Alligator mississippiensis: one gene and its partner. The main gene of each other region encodes a partner of the protein of the gene in region 2 in a complex. Links are inferred from orthologs where the notes say so. Each region holds a gene or a part of one and is shown on either strand. Other genes may lie near its edges. The genes, in order: F9 and SERPINC1.

The links.
Region 1: the proteins of SERPINC1 (region 2) and F9 are in contact, whole or in part, in a crystal structure (PDB 3KCG), measured with the Homo sapiens proteins. The link is inferred for Alligator mississippiensis from reciprocal best matches to the Homo sapiens genes SERPINC1 and F9. Residues at the interface, in NP_000479.1 of Homo sapiens: Glu264, Asn265, Arg267, Glu269, Met283, Met284, Tyr285, Glu287, Met347, Val349, His351, Val420, Val421, Ile422, Ala423, Gly424, Arg425, Ser426, Leu427, Asn428, Pro429, Asn430, Arg431; in NP_000124.1 of Homo sapiens: Lys247, Val248, Asp249, Ala250, Phe251, Cys252, His267, Cys268, Glu270, Glu285, Tyr312, Arg358, Phe360, Lys362, Gly363, Arg364, Ser365, Leu367, Lys387, Phe388, Asp405, Ser406, Cys407, Gln408, Gly409, Asp410, Ile429, Ser430, Trp431, Gly432.

What each region holds. Positions count from the first base shown.
Region 1 is NC_081831.1:78,788,015-78,798,912, forward strand, and holds the start of F9 (coagulation factor IX), read right to left. Parts: upstream 5,158-10,898; 5' UTR 5,132-5,157; coding exon 5,065-5,131; intron 1,869-5,064; coding exon 1,705-1,868; intron 1,358-1,704; coding exon 1,333-1,357; intron 1-1,332. UniProt on the Homo sapiens protein: Factor IX is a vitamin K-dependent plasma protein that participates in the intrinsic pathway of blood coagulation by converting factor X to its active form in the presence of Ca(2+) ions, phospholipids, and factor VIIIa.
Region 2 is NC_081828.1:47,939,752-47,950,860, forward strand, and holds the start of SERPINC1 (antithrombin-III), read right to left. Parts: upstream 4,670-11,109; 5' UTR 4,416-4,669; intron 1,450-4,415; 5' UTR 1,446-1,449; coding exon 1,065-1,445; intron 1-1,064. UniProt on the Homo sapiens protein: Most important serine protease inhibitor in plasma that regulates the blood coagulation cascade. AT-III inhibits thrombin, matriptase-3/TMPRSS7, as well as factors IXa, Xa and XIa. Its inhibitory activity is greatly enhanced in the presence of heparin.

The DNA of each region.
Region 1 (10,898 bases), on a different chromosome or scaffold from region 2:
AGGGGAAAGAAGAATGGTATTCACATCGCATCAGCAAATTCAGCTGTTAATGCAGCTTTAGAATGGGCAGGTAGAAGGGAGATGACAAAGTGAGTAGGGGCAAAATGTAATTATGTCCAGCTTGGGCACTAGGGACTGAATTTTTGTTGCCTTGTTGCTAGGGCAGTTAAACCAAAGCAGTGTTACCTGCTCTAACAAACCGGTGGCAAAAATAGGTCGGATTCTACAAGTTCATTGGAGCAGTTTACACTGCAGCATGCGTTGATCAAGGATTGAAGATGTTGACCACCTGTCACTAAAAGACAGCTATCTCCTATAGCTTCAAAAAGGGGCTTACATGATCGCATGGTCTTGAGCTACCCTTTTGCAAGGAGCAAATTTCATCTACAGGCTACGATACTGCTAATGGCACCTTGTGAGTTTAGCAAAAAGAGGTGTCCATTGTTAAATGGAGGAGATGCTTTTTGGAAAGGTGACTCTTCAGCTCTAAGGAAAGAAACCATGGCAGCCAAGTTATAGTACCACCATTTTTTTTTTTTTCCAGAGGACAATCTTAAAATGCAAATGTAACTTTTTATTTTATAGTCTGGACAGACTAATCTGAATTATTTAAGACTTTTTTTAGTGAGATGTTCTGGGAGCTCAGCCAATCTACAAAGAAACTCGTTTGCTAAAGCATATCTTGTTAAAATTAGTTTCAGATGTTTAGTGTGCACTGAAACCTTTTTTGTGGGTGGAGGAGTAGGGATTATTGGGGTAGTTTGTGGATGGAGACCAAGGAGTGAAGAAATAGATCATCAGTAAAAAATGAAGTGTAAAAAAAAAATGTCCAAGTTTGTGGACACTAGTTTGAATTTCAGGCTGCTGTTTGCTTTGAACAGTCAAGCTCTTTTTTTAATAAGCTGTTTTCTAGCAATTGTGCTGTGCTCACATGCACATTTAGTGAGTGGCTATTTGCACGTGAAAGAGGGCTTTTGCTATTGGCTACCCGCTGTGTTCACATCTTCTATCCCAGCCAGATGGCTAAAACTTGCAGCCTGCTACCTGACCGGTTGCACCAAATGAACAGGAAATAGTCTGTGGAAGAGTCTTCCTCTATAGAGCCTTTTGCAACCTGTTCTTATTTTGGGTTTTATCTGTAAACAGGACACACAAATGCCAACTCGTTATACTTGGCATGAAGAACGCTGACTGGTTCTAATGGAAGCTGGGTTTCAAACAATAGGAAATGTTCTTTCAAAGGACATCTGTCTCTCTTGTGACCTGGGCATATGCTGAGACATGATTATAGAACGACTAGGTTTTAAAATGTGAAAGAAGCAAATTTCTTACCAAGGTACCCTTTCCAAAACTCCATCTACAAAGAAAAAACAATATTATTAATCTCATTGTTTCTTTTTTTTTCTTTTCAAAACTGAACTACAGAATGAATAAAGAGGATAAAGGACTAGCAGGTAAAATCTTTGAGGGCAGAAATCCCCCTAATGAAAGGGACCAGCTTAGCTATAAAGGCTTAGATAAGACTCAAGTGGGCATAAGGGCAGCCAATATTTTTCATACAGAGGCAAATGGCGGCTTTTAGAAAATATATGGGTTTTTCTCCCATACGAAGGGAAGTACACCTTCTCCTTCCCCTGCACTACCCTCACCACGACTAGCAGGACAGAAGTGATGTTTCTGTTGCTCTGCAGTAACAATACTCACCGTCTTTTCCTCGTTTTCGAAAACTTCTCGTGCTTCTTCATAACTGCATTTTTCTTCGATGCATTCCCTCTCGAGGTTCCCTGAAACAACCTCCTCCAGCCTTTTGGAATTGAACCTCTTTTGCCTAGGCAAAACTGAGCTTGCTTGTTGGTTATCGATAAAAACTACAATATAAAAAAATACATTATGATACATTCTCTTCCCTAGCTTAGGGAAATTGTAATTACATATTCAGGAAGAGGGCTTTTACCATAACTCTGGGTCTGTTCTGAGCTTTGAGTCCTTTCTTTGGGTCTGTTCTGAGCTCTGAGATATAGCCATAGTAATTGTAACATAAGGGCACAGACCAGGAGTACACCATTGGAAGGAAAAAAAACCAAACATCTCATGACAAACTCAAGTCAATAAGGCTTATTTATCTTCCTGTATGGGATAAGCCATACTATTACGATCACATTTTTATACTGGTATAATTATGGTGTAATGGAGCCAAAGGAATACAACTTGTTTTTAGACCAAGTGAAAGTCCTTTCCATCCAAACACTGTCCCTGACCATTTTTTGAAGGCAGAGTAGATTTGCACCTTGGACTACTCAAACTAGATGATATATAGCACAAGCTTTTGTGAGCTGAAGTAGAGATATATCCACTTTGGTTCATCTAAGGTACAAGTCTGTCCTACCTTCAACTTGACTTCAGACTAACATGGCTAACTATGGCTCTCTTGACCAATTTTTCCAAAGTACTAACCACCAGGGAACTATTTTACCATGACTATCCCTACCTCCGGCATGTATGACCTCTTTGTGTGTTAACAGCTGTTACTAAACGAGAGCAAGTTGTTGATCAAGTACTTTGCAGTCCGATTCTCAAGGCTCCTCCTTGTTACTAATAACAGATGTACAGGGAAAGCCCTTAGAGCCTCTCACTGTCGCTGGAAGGTACTGTAGAGCAGCTCTACGTAGCGTGGAAGTTGGTCATTATATCTACGGTTCAACATTTTCATGTACTTTCTTGTCTACATAAAAGGTTTGTGCTAGAACAGATTTTTGCATGAATATTCTGCGCCATTGGAGAGTTGAAGAGAAGAAGCTCGGTGAGAGAAGCAGGAGGAGACTTCAAAGAGTGGCTGTTAGGCTCTAAATGAGATCAGCAGAGTGGAGTTGATCCAAAGCCCTTGGAAATCATGCCGGAAAAAACTCCCGTTAACTCAGCTAACATCTTACTCTAGAAATAACTGCAGTGAACTCCAGTGGAAGTATTCTGGATTCGTACCATGTAACTTCCTGCAAGTGGCAGTCCCAGTTGTTCTTATTACTTAAACTTAGTTCATACAAGGTTACTCTCTCATTTCTTGCACCGATACTTGCTTTCAACTGAAAACATCAAAATGGGCACAGCGAGCATTAAAAAATTGATCTTGATGGAAGCATGTGACCTTGGATATTAATAGAGCAACAAATTGTTCTTCGAAGCAGCCAGTTTCATAGCTACCAGAGAATTGTGCCTCTTTGGCTAGTAACCTTCTGATAGCAACGGCTCTTTGCATTTGGGAGAAGGATCGAAAAGTAGTTCGCTTCTTTTCTTGGAGCTGAAGTTTTGACCGTTGATTTGTGTAACTCTTGACCAGCTCGTACTCCAAATGCAAAGGCAATTTGGGTTAACCTAGCCTCAATTCAACATTGCAGTATGGGAAAGAGAGGCGTTCAGTCACTCAGGTGAAACAGATCCCCGCTCTCCTGTCTTCCTGTCCTGCCCAGCAGCTGCCAGATGGTGCATCCTTCTTCCTAGTAGGGAAGTCTGCTCTTTGGCCCAACAGTTCTCTTGCCTATGCTCACTATCAACACCGACATTTTTATAAGATCATGCTCGTTGCTCAACCCTTTCACTATTACTGACACATTCCCTGGCTAAACCAAGCCCATGGGGAGGGAGAGGGGGCAGGTGGAAAGGACATCATGCAAGTCTTGGAATGAATGCATGGGATTGCAGAAAGGGGGCCGGGTTTCATGAGGGACCTTGGTTGGTGGGATGCCTGCCGATTAAGGAATACAAGGGGGCAGTTAGGTTTCTAGCAAACATGCTGGGGTATGTCTATGCTGCAGAGTTTAATGCAGGGTAGGGATATGCAAGGGAGCTCACGTACCAGAAGCAATCTAGCCAGCACTCAGTAAAGGTCTCTCTCCTCTGGCTCTGCCTGCTACACCGTTTACAGCCATAAAACAGGACCACCCATCAATTCTGGGTTGTCTGAACAGCCTGCTGCCCCCCAACATCAGGGGCTTGGTCTCCCTCTCTCTCTTATCTTCCTTCATAGTCTGTACCTCTCAAAAGGAAGCAGGATTGTGCCCATTCGTGCGTCTCCCCAGGCCTTTCTGAAGAGTTTTTGACCTATAGGTTCCCCTTTGATAACTAGGTTTGGAGCCGAAATATTTGGCCTTGATCCACCCTGTACAATGATGGCTCATAGGAAAGTTTTGTTTCTTGATTGTTTAAAGCAACTCACTACTTTTGAATGCCTGGGAGAGTTGGAGTTCCTGTTAAAGCAATGATAGGGGTTTTGCTTAGTTTAAAAAAAAAAAACCCAAAAAACAGATTAAAGTAGAATTTTTCAACAACCAATGCTGTTGGTAGAGTTTCTACTCCCAAATGAGAGATGCTGTAGCAGACTCCCCATGTATTTACTCCAGTTGCATTCATTCTCAGGAACCCTGCTGAGCTCTGAACAAAAAGGCTATCCTTGTAGGAACCAAACACCTTCCTCTGATTTGAATGTGCATTAATTCAAGTAATTTAGATCATGCAGAACTGGATACCAGCTCAGGGTAATATGGTTAGTCGTCGGAACCGCTTAACAAACACCACTTGCCCTTCTTTTTCGCTTCTTAATTTGGTCTGCATGTGGCATTTAACAACCTTCAAACAGGAAATCCAATGAGTATTTTATATGCTTCAGTATTACTCAGTCTGTTCGTTCCCAGATTCAAATACACAAAGGGTTTGGAAGCTAATTTGTAAATCTCTTTTTTTTTTTCATTAGTATTAAAAATGACTGAATCTAGAGCAATTCCTTAGCACAAAGTCATAATGGTGCTTGGAATGTCCCATTCTTTAAGTAAAAAGGACCCAAGGGCTTAATTTCATCACCATAAAAAAAAAAAAAAATCCAATTTTTTTTGTTCTCAAGAGCTGCATTTTGAAATGGAAAACCAATCAAATTCAGCAGCCTGACTCCGCAATTTCTTATTGCTGGTAAACTCTCCCTTATCAAATGACACAATGTGCTTTTATCTATGTCAGCAGCAAAAGAAAGAAAAAAAAAAAAAAAGCAAAGGACTTGGTAGGTTTAAAACAACCAACCTGAACATTCAGCCTGAAGAAACAATCCCAGAAGACAAACGGAGACTGAGAGAGTGAGTTTTGCCATTTTTTTTGTCTTGCACAACGCAACCCTTTCTGCTAGGAACTTGTGCACACAGAGAGGCTGGGTCGATCCGGTCCAAAGTGCAAGCGCTTGTTTGCTTGCTTTGAGTAACCCTTTAATTTAAGGTTCCCACACATGCGTCAGGTGAGGACTCTGAAATGGCAGAGGGGTCTCGAAATGAGGAGCAACCACAGCAAGCTTGCTCTGAATAGGTTTCTTGTAGCATTTCCGTTGTTTCTCCTTTGGGATGGTCCCTGCTGGGGAGGGGACTGAGACTGGCTTGAAGAAGAAAAATAGTTCACATCGGGTGTAGTGAATCCGGCTCCAGTAAGATCGGGAACAGACATTCAATAAACCAATTTAACCTAAATTGGTTCAGTCTGATACTACATCTCTCCTGGTTTATCATAAACCAGTTTCAGCCATTATGAAAGCAGTTCATGTGCACTGAACTTCTGTTGAGTTACAGATTGGAACCGGTTTCTGATCACTTATACTGGTTTATGTGTAACTTCTGTCCCTAGCCTAAACGACTAGGTTTATTTGAATAGCTTGATCTCTGTGTTCGTGGTGTTGCTAGCAGTACATGGAAATGAAATGCGTATTTTGGAAACATGCTGTGAAGCAAGCGCATGAAACTGAGCCCAGGCCAGAGGAATATGCGATCGCTTCAGTCAACCAGGCAGAGCAAGGTTCACTTGACCATGTGAAACAAAGGGTGATACTTGGCCCATCCAGATGAGAGCTGGCCCCCTGGAAAGCATTGGCAACATCTGAACTGGCATCAGCGGGGCCAGGATTTCACCCCAGAACAACATAATGGGGCTCTCAATGAACCTGGTCCAGCTAGGGTTTGAGGCACGTGATGCAGTCCCTGAAGAAGACGGCCGAAAGGCAGGGATAGATGGGGCAGGGCTGGAGGTGGAAGGGGGACTGTTATTCTGTAAATGGTTCCTAACCCTGGCACTATTCACCTTATCTCCTCTGCCAGCACTGTTCACTGAAGTGGTCCTAGCCCCCACTGCCTTGTGGGTGCTCCTTGGTTGGAGAAAGGTTAAGGGATGTCATCCTGCCAGAAACATGTCCTCACTGAGGAATTAGGCAGTCGGCAGCAGTTCTTATCTGTTGCTGTCTGGCAGAAGGTACAACCATCAAGGCACTGAACATCTGGACTCAATCTTGCCTTTGGGCTCCGTCTCTAAGGTCTAAAGGAGAGATGGGCAACCTCCATACTCTTGCCTAGGCATACGCATCAAAGGTCTTGGTGTGGTGGCCACAGGACTCCATACGAGCAGATACATCGGGCATCCAACTAGACTGCTTACACATACACCATGATCCAGAGGACTGGCAGACAGTTGCCTACTTTTATCTACCGAGATACCAGCTTTGAAACCCAGCCTTGGTTGTGGGTACAAGGAACACCCCTCTTCTTTTGTCTTTGCACCTTTTGGACAAGGGTGGAGGGAGTAATTTGAGTTAGCTGCCATTCAATTAATTCAGTTGATTTGAGTTAATTGCCATGCATGTCATGACCGGCCCTTGCCTGTATTGATGCAAGTCAAAGCTCGGGACAGTCGGACCCAGGATAACCAAGGTCTTTTTTTAGCCTCGGTCAGTTTGATCCCAGGGTTATCACCTAGTTGCCAGGCAGTGTAATAGTCCCTACAGCTTGGGAGAGAGCTTTGTGTGTGATCCTTTCTATCAAGTAAAGTTTGCCGTTCAGTAAAAACTGGGATAAATTATTGTGTAATTGTCATATCCTTTACTTGAGACGGGAAGAGCTAAGTGATGATAGTGGACTGAAGCTCATCATCTGATGATTTATAAAAGGAGAGGAGCTTGAAGAGGGGATTTAACAGGCTTCACTGTTTTTGTTGTTTTTTTTGGGGGGGGGGGGTTTCCAGAAGAGATGGATATTTTATTTTTGACACCACAATATAATCCTGCAGCATGTTTCACCCCATGAGTGCTTACAAGCAGCCAGCTTGATTCAGTATGAAACGAAATATGTAAAGTATTGGATCAGCTTGTATCCTGCAGGGTAGAGAATGGGCCGTTACTTGCTTTGAGACTTTGCCTCTCGAGTGTCTGGAAAAGTATGTGTTTGAGCTAACAAATCATAAATTCTGTTCACGGTGCCTGCAAAATGTAACAAATGGTCCTTCCCCAAGCATATGAGGGACATTTATGGTTGTGTAGGTGTTTGGGAATCACTTTTTGTACAAAGAAAGGACTGATAAATGGCAGATTAAAACAAGAGGCCTCCACTTGAGCTATGGGTTTATAAGCTCTCTTATGCTTTGCCAAGAAAAAAGGAATCCTTTCTTTATTTTTGAAAGGCAACATTTTTATCTTGCTTTGTTTTACAGTATCTGAAATAGTTTGCATTTGCCGCAGGCACGCCGTTTCAGAGGGAGTGTTACAGATTTGCTACTGTAGGTAGAGGAGGAAAGATGCGTTCATGTATCTGCGATGAAGCTACCTTGGAGTAACTATGCACTTGTACCGTTGTGATGGAAATGCAATGCAAAGTAGAGGGTAAAGGCCATTTCTCATTTCTTGCATATGAATACATGTGAATGTGATGGGGGGAGGCGGGGAAAGAAGCAAACTGGTATGAAATAGTGAAATAATATGCCTTGGATCAATAAAAGGAAAGTGGAGAGTAGCCTGCTTTAACAAACCAAGCAAAATTAGATTATCATTCTACAGCATTTTTTTTCACAACAGCACAGGACAGGTAAATTATTTCTGTTTTTTATGGTGCTAGCAAGATCTGCAACATTAATGCTATTTAATCTAAAAGAAAATGCCTGCACAATTGGAACAAACAAGGCCATTAATATGTCCAAGCCTAGAGCCTGCTGCTACCGCTCTCCATCTTTGTGGTATCCAATGCTAACAAAGAGTTTCCTCTGTGTTTCTGTTGCAAACAGTTCCCAGTGCTGGGATCAGCCCTCAATAAATGCTTTGGAGAAGAAAGTATTGTTGTGATGTTGGATTACCGAAATTAAATATTGATCCAGCTTAATTCAGATTTATAATATTAACGTTCTCAAAGGGGGACTACTTAAAATTCAAAATTAAGTACTGCGTTCTTGGAACTTGTTAGAGCTGGCTGAATAAATCTGTTTCCTACTTGGGCTTTTCCTTGGCACATCAACAACTTTCCACTGTTTTTTGCAAAATGCAACTTGGTTGTCAAGCCCATTTTCAGATTGAAAAGGTCAGGCTTGCTATTTGGAGCTCTCACTGGGACTGACCAGTCCTCCGAAACAGTCTTGTCAACGGCTGTTGGAATTGAAGTCTCGCAGAAATGTTTTGGCACTGCTGAAGTAATAGCGTATTTTGATGGAAAACTATTTGGTCTGCGATGTTCTCACCCAGACTAGTTTCAATGGGCTTCCTTAATGTCGTAACATACCTTATCTAAGTCCTCTTGATATCTGCTTGCTTCCTACTACTATTTTAGACATTCAGGGATTTTGCAGATTTGACTTTTGTGATTAAAGTCTACTTTATTCAAGATCTGTGTTGGAATCTGTTGTATTCCTTTTTTAAAGAGTGCTTCTCAACCTTTTTTGTACCAGGACCCATTTGTAAACATCAATGACCAGTCCTGACCTGGTGCCCCTCACTCCCAGCCTGCAGCCCCCTGCCCCAGCTCCCCACTGTGTTGGGCAGGGAGTGGGTGCACGGGGCGTAAGGGGTCCCCAAGCAGCCCCTTGCAGGCTGGAGCTCTGCCAGCCTATAAGGAAAACCTGCAGTTTCTCACAATTTTCTCCTTTTTAAAGGAGAATCCATTTTTAAAGTTTGTTCATGACCCTTCCATGTATTTGGGTTGCAACCCAAAGGTTGAGAAACATTGCTTTAAAGTATACAAACCGTATTGTATACATCCCTCTCTGAATTCCCGTTGAGAGTTCAGAGACGGATGTGTGTGCTGAAAGTCATTAGGATGTGGAAGAGAAGAAAGTGCAATCTCTATAGTTAAGGGGCCATATTCATCCATGTGAGTCCCTCTTCTACCTGTAGAGGGAAATCCTGGCTGCTGGGAAGTCCACAAAAGTTTTTTGTCATTGATTTCCAGCAGGTCAGGATTTCCCCTGTGGAGTTCACACTGGATGGAGATGAAACTAAGGTGAAGAGGGCTTTCCCCAGGCATGAATGCAATAGGAAGGAATATTGACCCCCTCAACTTAGAAATCCCAGGAAATTTGTGGCATCTGACCCCAGTTGTATCCCCTGCCTAGTGCAGGGGGGCTGGACAATGCAAGGTCCCTTCCAGCCCCTAACATCTATGAATGTGTGCCTGTATTTCCACTATGCCACCAGTGACCATTGCAACCTTGCTAGCCTCCATGGCAACTTGGCTTCCTTGAATTTTCCCTTTCCTGTCGGTAGAAGACTTCCCCATTGCAGGAAGAGAGCATAGGGGTTCAGTCCTGTTGGAAAAAATTGTAAGGCCACAATTTTCTTCAGAAAGGTGGAGTCGTCATCAAAAATTGAAGCTAGACTTGCAGCAGAGCTCATGTTGGTCACTGAGTGATTCCAAAAAAATGGCATAATATAACCCGAGGGACCTGCTGGGTAGCAAAACTTGAAAATCCCATCCCTGCTTTATCAGATACCCACCTATGAGGCTTACCTGGGGGGAATTAAGCCCCTGAGACAGTGTTCTTCTCCTAGCTGAAGTTCTGGGTGAAGGAGTGGACCATGTTTGCTGACTGCCTTGTAATAACTCTTCATTTTCCAACCAATGTTCTGTGCCATTCATGAGCTAGATTTTGACTACCTTCACAAGGTCTTTTCTGGCAGCTAGTAAGGAAAATGGGTCTGGGTCTCTTCATACCCAGAGCAGTCTCTCTCTAGTGTTGTTTGATTGACCACAGTGGAATTGCAGCTGAGGAAGGAAAGGAGCAGTGGACTCCACAGGAGTTCATCCAGTTAACTTCGGTGGGAGTAGAACAGATCTCAGGGCTGTGACCCAGCTATACCCATAATATTCTGTCTTGAATTTGCCTGCACAGTTGTTGGTGAGGGCAGGTCTTGGGCTGATATATTGGATTTGATGTTCTAGGAATGTACACCTTGCCCTCTGAGAAATGCTAGTGAGCGATGGGAACAATTATCTTGACGAGCAGCAATGCACAATTGCACTCAACTCTGAGTCGCTGCTTCTTTGAGGCAATGGGCCTTGCACTGTGCATCTCCATTGCAAAGAGAAATTAAGTTATAACAAGACAGCACAGGAGAATTATTTCCATTTTAATCCTTAGCTCTTCTGCTGTGTTTTGACTACACTGATCAAATGTGCACAGAGCCTGCTGAAATGAAGAGCCTATTAAAAGATTGCTCTTTAGCTAAACACTTTTTTTTTGTTAAAAATGAATCAATTTGCGTTTGCCCTCTAGGACAGCTATGCTATATAACTTTTCATTAACTGAGAAGCAAACAAACCATATTTGGATAACAATGAAAGCCTTGCTTAGTTTTTTTTTTAAGTTTTTTTTTATTTTGCTCTCTGCTTAATTACTTGAAAGTCAACAGCTCTTCCCTAAGCAAGGACTACAAATGTTATACAAAAAATGAATCACCTTGCATCGCTCTTTGTGTCAGTCTTTTGCAATGTCTGTCACTTTATAGTACAGTGCTTATGTTGCAATGATTAACTTACCAAGGGAAATCATTGGTTGGTGTAAATTGTTGCGTCTCCCTTGAACTCAATGGAAGGATGTCTATTGAAGTCAGTGGAGCTAAAACAATT
Region 2 (11,109 bases):
GGACAGCTAACAAAGGGAGGAATCATGCAGGTAACTGGATGCTGATGCCAGGACACTAGGCTAAAAGCAAACTTTTTTTCACACAGAGGGATGACTGCCTCCTGTGGAGCTGGCTTTAAGAGGAGGCCCAACACCCTTTTTGTTGTTGCTACTAATCGTGTTTCCAACAAAGCAGGACAGTGATCATATCTTGCCAGCCCATTCCATGTAGTGATTGCTTGTGTGTACATGCTTATAAAGGGTTAGTCCAGCAGCACTGGCATCGGTGGGAGTTACACTGTTAAATTCAGTGGGATTATTACAGGTAAGTAAGCAGAAAAGTCACATGGTGGCTAGTACAGAAAGGGTTGGTAGGATAGACAAGGACTACATATCTCCCCATTGTTGCAAAGTCCTGGAGGTCAGGAGGTGAGCCTCCTGCAAAGAACAACCAGTGCTGTTAATTTATTGATGGGGCTTTTGTCTAAACAAAAAGTTCAGCCTGGGGTCTCTGTTCCATCCCTTCCTCCTCATCCCACGTAAACCAGGGACTGCATTGTTCCAGCTGCATTTTTGCACTTATTTCAATAAGAACATCCCACACTTCGACTTCTGCATAAGGATGGTGGAAATAGGGGGCCTTTAGCACAAACCCTGCTCCAAGGTCTGATTGGCTTCCCTCAGCTTCCTGTGTAGAGGCCTATCCCTGCTCATCTAACTGCCTAGGTCCAGAAGAAAAAAGTATTCACCTTCCTTCCTCACATCCAAAGCAGGTTTCTTCTCCTCCAGATGGAGGCTATAACCTATGCATCAGCATGTGCACCAGAAGAATCTACTTGGATCACTGGAGAAGGGTTTGGATTACAGAAACCCAGAGGGAAGTAGTCTGGGTCATCCTCCAGAAGGGTCCTTGTCAGAGACCTGTTTAGCAGAAGGGTCTGTCTCTCAAAAGCTGGGGTTACAAAGGAGGTGATCTGAGCAAAGGAGCCATTAAAAGAGAGAGCTTTATTATAAGCAGCTAGCATTTGGCATCTTTGTTCTAACTTAAACCACAAGGACTTGGAAACTGAGGAGATGCCACTGACCTCCATAAGCTGCTGGAGAGTGTCACCACAGGCACCGAGCTTGGTCATGGCAAAGGCTGTGGAGATACTGAGGGGCGACATGAAGATGTTTCCCTGGTCACTCTTGGAGTCTGCCATGTACTTGTAGAAAATAACGGCAAAGCGGGAGTTGGCCTTTGACAACTCCCAGACCCGACGGTTAGTAAATTCTGGGATCTTATCCTTGGCTTGATCTGCCTCTGGCCCTTCGCCCTCCTGTGGTTTCTTCTCAGGGTTACGGTAAATGCAAATAGGATTCACAGGAATGTCCTTTGGCTTTGCGGTACAGATGTCTTCCACCCGATGTTGCTGGGGAGCAACTGCTCCCCACATACTGATGATCAACACCACAAAGAGATGCATCCTCCTGAAACCAGAAAGAAATGTTACAATCCAGGTGGGAGCCCTGCTCTGGAAGCCATCACTCCGAATAGGCTCCTCAGTGTCATCCTCTCATTTCAATTCTACCTACAGGTTAGGTTATGGAGTAAGGTAATCCATGTCAAGGATGCTATCCTGGTTTGGGCTTTCCAGATGTTGGAAGTGGGACTGATGGACAGGCAGCTAGAAATATCTTGCAGTGGTGAAATAACATACATAGCTCAAACAGCTGTCTATGAAGGTGGAAATTCAAATTCCCTTTGGAAAGGCTTGCACACCTCTCCTTTTATACAAAGGGTGCCTGTTGTATAACTTGAAGTATGGACAGATGTCCATATGGCACTATAGATATTGATCAGATAGATGACTCTGTGTCATAGTGCTATAAATTAGTCAGAACTCTATAAAATGACTCTTAGTGAAACAGGAATAACTCTGAAGTGCTTCACAGTGATGCTATCACTGGGAGGCAGCTGTATAATGATATGCTACTGAAATGCTGCAAAAAAAGTGCTTTCAAAAAGGCAGAATTTGAATTGTTCTATATATATGTCTGTCTATAGGCTGTCTGGACTTTCTTTGATGTTTTCTACCTGTCAAGCTAGAGTCCCAGAGCAAAAACAGAGCTTGCCAAAACAATGGCCCAGTGCCTGGTGTCCAGTTGTTGCACAAGATGTAGAACACATATGATTAACAGCAATTCAATAACAGATATAGGGGAAAGTGCTGTCCTAACCCAGCGTTTCTTTGGGCAATATCTTTTATTGGATTAACTGCATAGAGTAGATTAGGGGGAGAAAAAGTTTCTCAATCCTCCCCAAAGTTCTCCTGCATGGTTGTGTTGCATATATGGAATCATATATGTTAGCTAAAGGTTTGGGATGATGAAGCGCTGAAGAAGAGAGGTAAAACGTCCACTAATTTCAAACCCGAGGTGGGGGAGGGGGGAAGCAGATAATTTCATGCCTAGACACTTTCCAGGAACCTTTTCGAGTGTCAGCAGGGTTGACTTAGCTTGGCCTTTCATACATCATAACTACAAAGTGTGTACTACGTGGCTGTTCAGCTATTGTGAACACCTGATACAGATGAAACCTCAGGGGAAAAAAAATCTTTCCCAGAGGTGAGATTTGTCATGTACAGTGAATGATCCCTGATCACTTCAGACAATAATCTGCCCTGGAAAGCTTGGCAAAGTATATCCCTTCTTCTTCCACTGATGTGCTAATTGCTGTTTGATGAGCAGAGTCCATCCCTGTAGAGACTGCACTGCATATAGAAGTTAGAGAGTGCTTTGAAATTCTTACAGGACTAAGTGTTTTAGAAAGGCATATAATGCTTTTATGTTGACTGGATTCTGGCAAGAGAATGAAGTACATACAACTTTTTTAAATCTGCTTTCTTTCTTTCTAACCCAGTCCTGGAGGAAGGCAGTGAATTACTGAGTCAGCTCAACATTGCAGTTTCAGGCAGTCTCCTGCATTATTAATAGGGAAGCTTAGTAGAGTCAATGTAGCAGGGAAACTGAGTTATGCTAAGGCTTTTAGCCATAGTCCAGGCCTTTCCAGAACTAAGCAACACAATTGAACAGAGGGCCTTCTGTGGTGCTGGGAGATGTGAGGGCTGAGACTGGGCAGCAGGCAAGCAAGGGACAGCAGTTTCCCTATAAGGAATGCGGCTAGCACAGTGCCAGGGGACTGGTGCACCATATAAGGAATGCTTGGCACGAAGCCAAGGGATTGGACAATTTGGGAGGAGAGTAGTTACAGAAGTGATGGACAAACAAAGGAACACACATGTATTGTGTTGCCACTCTGGGGAAATAGGAACAACTTTGGACTTCTTGTTTGAACGAGGAATCCAGAAACTAACATCCCGCACACCCAGCAGAGGATCTGAGGCCGGTACCACCAAAGGTCACTGCTGTAAAGCCTGAATGAACTGCTTGGCAGGTCATATTGCAAGGAAGAATACTTGTAATAAGTCTAGGGGTTACTATTAAAAGTTCACTTGATACCAAATCGGATAAGGGGCCATGTCAATCCTTGGGGGTCTCTGGTAAAAGGAATCCTAGGGGCAAGTCAACACCCAGAATGAAGCATAATGAGAACCTTTTCCCTCCAACCCCAAACGGTACGTGCCAGAGTCAGGCTGCAAACATTAGTCTCTTCCCACTGCTGTAATAGTTACTTTTGCTCAGCATTATTCTCTCCTAACAAAAGGGCATCAGGCATTAGGGTTATAAACCTATGGGGGTTGGAAGGTTATTGTAGCATGGCAGTCCGGGAAACAGAGACTAGGCTTTTTTGTTGCATCTTTTATTGGATCAACAGTATAGTAGGGAGAGCTGTTAGACAACCTGGAGGGGCACCTGATGCCTGAAACAGCTCTCCCAACTATATATCACCAAAAAACCCCCCTCGACTCTGAACATAAATCTATGGCTAATTTGCTAGCAAGCACGACCTGTTGGACTCAGTATACAGTTCTCTCCAGACCATGTCCAGGGGAGCTACTTGAGTCCAGTAAGCTTTGATTTGAGGAGCTTCCATTGGTGTATGAAGTTCACTTTCTGGGATGTTTTATAGAAAGGGAGGACCTCCCCCCCCAGAAAGTCCTTTAAGTGAGGCAGAAAAAAGTGAGTATCAGCCAGTAGAAAATTGTAAGGATCCCTAATACATGAACTGCTTCCCACTCTGTGAAATGGTTCCTCAAAACCAAGATTTTGCAGATGTTCTAGCAAGCAAGACATGACAACCTAGATCTATGGTATCCAGGCAGAACCCTACAAAAAGAGAGCCTCAGCATCAAACACACCATCAAAGAAATCAGGACTCTCACAAACATACAAGTAGTGGTGAGGGGTTCCTAAGTTCCCACAAAGGGAAATGAATCCATGTGGAGATAGGTTAACAAACAAAAAAAACATCACTGGAACTTAAGTCCTCTTACCTGCCTCTGGTGTCTCCAATGCTTTCCCTTGAGGATGTGATACAAGATAGTAAACAGGATTTCTTTAGCTCAGGGAAAATAAAAGGGAGTCCAAACTAGTCCGTACTAGCTTCCACACTGAGTTTGTACACTTAGCCAGAGCTCAAAAGGAATGCAGGAGGGCAGGAGGTAGAGTGGGATGTCAGGGGTCAAAGGTGGATGACCAGCTAGGGAAGGTTGAGCAATGTTTAATTTAAGAGAAGTTTTGAAGTTCAACCTGATGAGAGAAAGTTTGATCAACTTCTCTAGGCAAACTGCAGGCCTGCTACCCCCCCCCCCCCCCCAGCCTATGCTGATAAAACAATGGGAGAAATGTTCAATAATTCAAATGCAGATTTAGAAAACACCTTTCTCCAGACATTTTGGTCTTCTGTAGCTCAGGATAGTAACTCTCTCCCCTACTCCTCCCAAAACAACCAGAGGCAAGATTGCTATGCTTTGCCTTCACAGGCTCCTGTCCCCAAGTTTGCACCTAATAAGCTGAAGATAATGATCCCCCCCCCCCCCCCCGCTACACACAAACAGCACTGATGAAAGCTGGGTGTTGAAAAATGTAACTTAATGACTGCAGATGCAATTCCTCTGTAATTTTAACATCATAATCACCACTTCATGAAAAATAAAAAAGAGCCATTTGGTTGGGGTTGTACACAAGTGTCAGCGCCAGAAAAAAAAATCCCTCTCTTGCTGATGAGATGCCGTGCTACTGGGTTCTGTACTGGGCCCAGTCACTTTCTGTAGAGCACATAGCTGAAAAATAGTGGCTGTTAAGCCATGCATTAGTTAAGGGGTGTGTAGATACACACTGGGAAAAGTCACTGACAAAACAGTAAGCATTGAAGGTAATGACTGATGAGAAGTCACTACCCCCAATACCGCCCCGAAGTAAATCATTTAACAACAGCCCCAATTTTTGCCATGCAGTATCAGTGCTGCAATCAGCAGTGTCTTCACATCAAAGGCCAGCAAAAAAACCACAAAAGCTATTTCCCCAGATACTACCAGAAACACACCCAGTTTTGCAAGTAAGAGACCACAGTCTCAGGAAGCACAGTTGTGTTTATTCCTGCCAAAAGGGAGATCTTGGCAAAAAACCAGACAAACTAGAATAATGCTGTCAAGCAAGTGAGCAACTCACAGATCACCCTTTTACATGCACTGATTTAAAACTCTCCCCCAGGAGAGGCGGTGCGCTATGCTATTTGCTGGATTACTTTAGTGGAGGTAACCTAGAAAGTGGGCTCCAAAGGGCTACCAGATTAGTTTTCCAAGAGGCTGAGCATCAGGTCTTGAAGATTTAGAGAAGACTGGTCCGACTAAGAACCCTTAACATTAGTGGTCTCCACTGACCATTGCAAACCTTTTAATCAGGACTGCAGCAAATTAAAACATTTCTAGTGTAGCCAAAACAAAAAAAATAAAAAAATAATGCATCTTGGCTCCTCTCCACACATTTCAAGTGGGAATTCACTGGACATGAAGATTCCCACTGGACAAGGAAATGAGGTTGGTATGACTGAGGAATTTCCAACCAACCCTCCTACAGCAAAGGGAAAAAAGATGGACTTAATACATATTGGAATACACAAAAATGTCCAGATTCCTTCCAGTGGTTGTCAGATCATTGGTGGTAGATACAAAATCCAGTGCTAGTACTGTAACAAAGCTACTGAATTTTTGTAGGACTCCAAAATTCCAGTGCACAGGCCAGACAGACTTGGAGTAATTTAGTCTACCACATGTAACACATACATGGGCAACTTCTAAGTCAAGGGGACCATGAGATACAGGCCCTGCTCTACCCAAAAACTGATTTTTTTTATTTTTAAGTGGCAAGTGCCTAGCACTTTTTTTTTTTTTTTTTTTTAAATAGCAAATGGAGGCAGAGAATCAACACAAAACTTGCATCCCTGGATGAGACACTGATTTAGCATCCAATATGAAAAATGCATCAATAAAACATTACTAGTTGTTCTGTTTGGGTCAGTGGATCAAGTAGACATTTTTGTCATGATGGAATATGTAGCCTCAAGTTGGTAATGGTGCTTTGTTGCACTAGTCATCTCAAAATTTTCAATCTTTGCAGTCCTTAGTATTTTAGTAGCTTAGAGCAAGAGGTATCAGCCATATTATTTGCCACTAAGGTCTATTCTATGCTCAGTCCAAGGGAAGGATGTTGCAAGTCTCTCCCAGTACCATTCTTGTTAGTTGGGAAGTCCATATACCATTCACTTAGGATTGCCTAGTCTAGTCAGTGTCACAAGGCTTTGCATAGGGCCACCCTTCTGTTCCCTGTACACTTGGCCCTGGTGATATCAAAGAGGGGGAAATGTAGTCTTTAAGGCAGTGTAGTATCTGTAGTTCTCCCCTCACCCCCACATCTGAAAACTGGGTTAACTTTCAGTGGAGCCATGATCAATTTAGTCTGGGTGGCTTGCAGTTCATTCAAGAATTTGGGAGAAAGTATCTGAATGTACCTGTAAGGCTTTCAGTCATTCCTTTTGAAGAGAAGGAAGAAAAAGGCATCTAAGGTTGTCTGAGGAGGCTGTAGAAATGGTGGCCATGCTCAATGGTGTTTCATGCCTTAGGTGTATTTTGCTGGATATCTGCAGGGAATTGTAGGCAGACCCAGTTCCTACAGCAGAGGACTTGGATTCCTAAGTTTAGTTTGCTGTGACATAGGTCCCATCTTGATAAGACCCTTGCCCCTATCAAATCTTCTGCCTTAATTTCTACACCCATAAAATGGGGGAAATAAATGTTCACTGCCACTAAGTCAAGTGTCAAAAGCATTTTAAACATGAAAGCTGCCAATCTTTCAGAACAGCCATCACTGCCTTCCTAAGCGACCAAACAAACTCACCATCTGATTTGGAGTATATGAAAACAGTGCACGTGCAAATGCACACACTCTTCAGACCACTGCAGTGTTTGCAGTACTCTGGGGCTCACAGACTATTTGGGAAAACAGGACCACACTGTGCGCTGCACTGTAAACATTATTCATCCTACAAGAGCTTACACAGCTCAAGTGTTATTAAGGCTATGAACAAACAGGATGGTGAGAGAACTTAAATGCAGCCATACTGACTGGCCCCATAGTTAAGAAGCTTATACATTAGACAGGAAGATGGTCATCTTGGGGCAAACATACACTGAGGGTGCCACACTTGACTTTTCCTGAATGGGAAGGGGTGGGCAAAGCAAAACTTTTGGTGAAGAAGCTGCTACCTGTTCCACAACTGATGTTCCTCATACTTCAAAAGGGCTGAAGTTTGCACTCAACTGAGGCTATCTAATGTCAACAATGGACAAGAGGACGGCGAGGAGAAAAAGAGGATATCAAAACATGCACAACAGGCTTGCGGCCAGAACTCCCCTCACTCTAAAAAAGCATAATGTAACAGGTAAAATGTTCCAGCGCTTCTTGAAGTGGTATGTTTGTCCCAGGCCTTTTAAAAGTGCAGGCTTCTGGAACAAGTAATAAAAGGATCCACTTAAAGATCACTTTATTGTTCATGTCTGGTGGATATACATGCCTCTTGCCCAAGGAAACCACTTCATTGAAAAAGAAAGGATTCATACTAAATTAGCACTGAGCATGCTTTCAGGTCTTAGCAACCAGAGAAGGAAAGGGGGAGTAGGGGAGGGAAGGGGACTTTAAAAAGGGGACACAGGCTTCTGTGCTTTTGTCAGGCATTTAATTTTCCACTGTGGTCAGGAAAGATTATATATTGCTCTGGAGAAAAATCTGTACTCAAGAGGCTCACAATGCACACTGCAATCCAGAGAGAAAATGAGAGATATTTCAAATGTGTAAGCCATTAATTTATCATTTAATATAAATGCTGACAGAAAAGCAGATAAGACCTTGTAGACACTTCCATCTATTTACAGACTGAAAGGTGAATCACCTCCTTTTTACTAATTAAAATAAATCCTTTTTATCTGCAACTCATAGGAGCCTTAAACACTATGCAGGAGTAACATGAGGCTGAGTCAGTTTCCAAAGGGAGGAAGGCAAGTTAGAGAGGAGGGAAGAAACAGCATTTCAACATATGGTGTTTTTCCACATATGGCATTTTCTATATAATCATGCACAATTTTTTTAAAACACAAAATGATAGTGTTGGGCTTATACTTAAAAAAAGAAATCACAAGGAACAATGACTTTCAAGACCAGAGCTCTTTCTTGCCTTTCCATCTGCCAATCCCCTCCCTCCTCAGCATAATGTGTGAAAAACGGTTTTTACTTAAGGTTTAAACACAAATACTGGAGGATCAAAATGCCATTGGAGCAGGATAAAGCAGGCTCTGTTGTTTCCCCCTTCGGTAATCTCAAAAGGACTTTCCAAAAGATACAAAAACTGCCATACATGCCTTTGAAGATCTCCTCCACTGCCAGCCTTCATGCATGAGATTTCAATGTTCTACTGTGCTCACAAAGAATTCACAATTTATGGAATTCCACTCACACCTTTTATTTAAATCTCTACTCTTCTTGTGTTTGGGGAGATAAGAACAATAAATATTCACAATATTCAGTAAATAGAGTTAGCTGTCCCTTTTTATGATGGGAAGAAAATGGAAGGAAAGGAGAAAAAAAAAGTCAAAAGGGATCACTTCAAAAGACAGAGGAGGGAAATAAAAAAAAAAAAAGTTTGTTCAGTACTGTTTTATAAGAACAGCAAATGGGGATCCTTATTTATACAAATTCCTAAGTAAACTCAAGAAGTCATTCATAACCTGACTCAAATCTCATGGTCTCCTTTATTATCCTAGACTATCCTTTTTTATTTTATTTTTATTGTTTTTGTTAAATATACCTCTGCAGGGCACAATCACATACAATCAATACGATTGGAAAATTACATGAGCTCTATCCCAAGCATATATGCACCAATGTTAAAAGTTATTTAAAAAACAAACAAACAAACCAAAAAAATAAAATAAACTCCACCCAAAAAGGTGATAATGACTGCAGAATGTCTCGGGGAGACTGGTATGAGCCCAAAAAAGATCAAAGAAAACTAAGTTTACATAGAAAGAGAAAACAAGCTTTTGTAGAGAAATCCCACAACTGGAAACAGGTGACTTTTAAAGTGAGGGGATGAGTGCTGGCATGCATGTTTTCTCCTGTAACTCTGTTCTCTTGCATGCCACCTCTCTCCTCTTCCCCAGAGCTGAATACAACTAGGAACTAGCTCATAACATTACTATTACCAGTTACCACAAACAGAAGAAAAAAAAAAATCAAGCTATACTGCAGCTGGTAAGCTAGCCTTCAAGGAAAGCCCCTCTTAGCATAGAAGCTGCTTACATGGCAAGCACAGGCCAAAGGGAAATGGAAACTCCTTAAATTAGAAAAGCTAAGAGTCATTTAATGGGCTATTTTGTCCACATTGCAGCAGCTCGCACTTAGGAGAGGCTGCAAAGCAATGGCATAAATTGTAAACAATGCATCAACTGTGTTGTGAATGGGGTTCTCTCTCCTCTCCCTACTCAAGTTGCTTTTTGCATGCACAGAAAGTTTCCATCACACCTAATAAAAATCTAGAATGGAGCTTGGTGCACACGTCCAGTTGTGGGATCCATCCAGTACACAATCCAGTTCAGATGCCAAAGACTTGTGAGTACTGTCTGCTACAAATTATGAATAAAATTATTTTAACATTACAAAGAAAACAATTTTTAGTTTATACCATAAACATCAGATAACTCCACAGGATTGTTTTTAAACATACATGTATTTCAGTATATCTAGTACTTTTTCCTCTTCAGGGAAACTGTATCGCATCCTTTTTTTTTTTTTCCTGTATTTTCCCAAGACTTATTTTTGTAAATATTTTACTTTTGGCCAAAAAATTCCATATCCAGAAAGAACTGGTTGTCTCGAGATGTCAAAAAAACCTGTACAATGCCAGACCCCTGTGGGCCCAAAGTGTTCAGACTTCAGTGCCTGAAGCTAGACGGCTAAATAAAAGATGCACACTTCTCAGAGCTCCCAGGCATTTGCAGCTCCCAGAGAACTTCTCAAGTAGCCTCCTGGGAACCTGCAAGCACTCAGTAATCTCTGGAGAATGGCAATTATTTATATGGCTAGACTTTATACATCCATGTCCAAACATTTTGGGCACAGTGCTTTAAAAGTTCAAACTACTGGGGGACTCTTGGGAAGGAAGTCCAGCATAGGCAGATGATGAGCCAGGTTCTCCATGCACTTCTCTGGGAGGGATCAAATGATGTTCCATCCTCTTTGCTTAGTGTTCAGAGAGCTCCCCAGCATAAAACAACTCTCACCATTCATAAGTTTTTATAAAAATATTTATAAAATATGTTCTCCTTTCTCCTCCAATCTACTGTCCATCTGTATCACAAGAATCAACTGCTTCTGAAATTCAGTGTGGCATGATTCAGAGATACAGAGGTGTTTCCCTCTACACTGCAACTGTTGCTATGACATGGCAACATCAGGAAACATTGTGTTGGAACAAGGTCCACCCAAAACCTTTGTAGGGTGACTGGAATTAACTCATGCTTTGAAACCTCTTTCCAGCATTTATCATTTGGGGAGAAAGCAAGCAATTAAAGACAGCAGCAATATGGAAAACTAGGATCAGTGTTTGATTTCCTACCTTTCATATTAAAATGTACT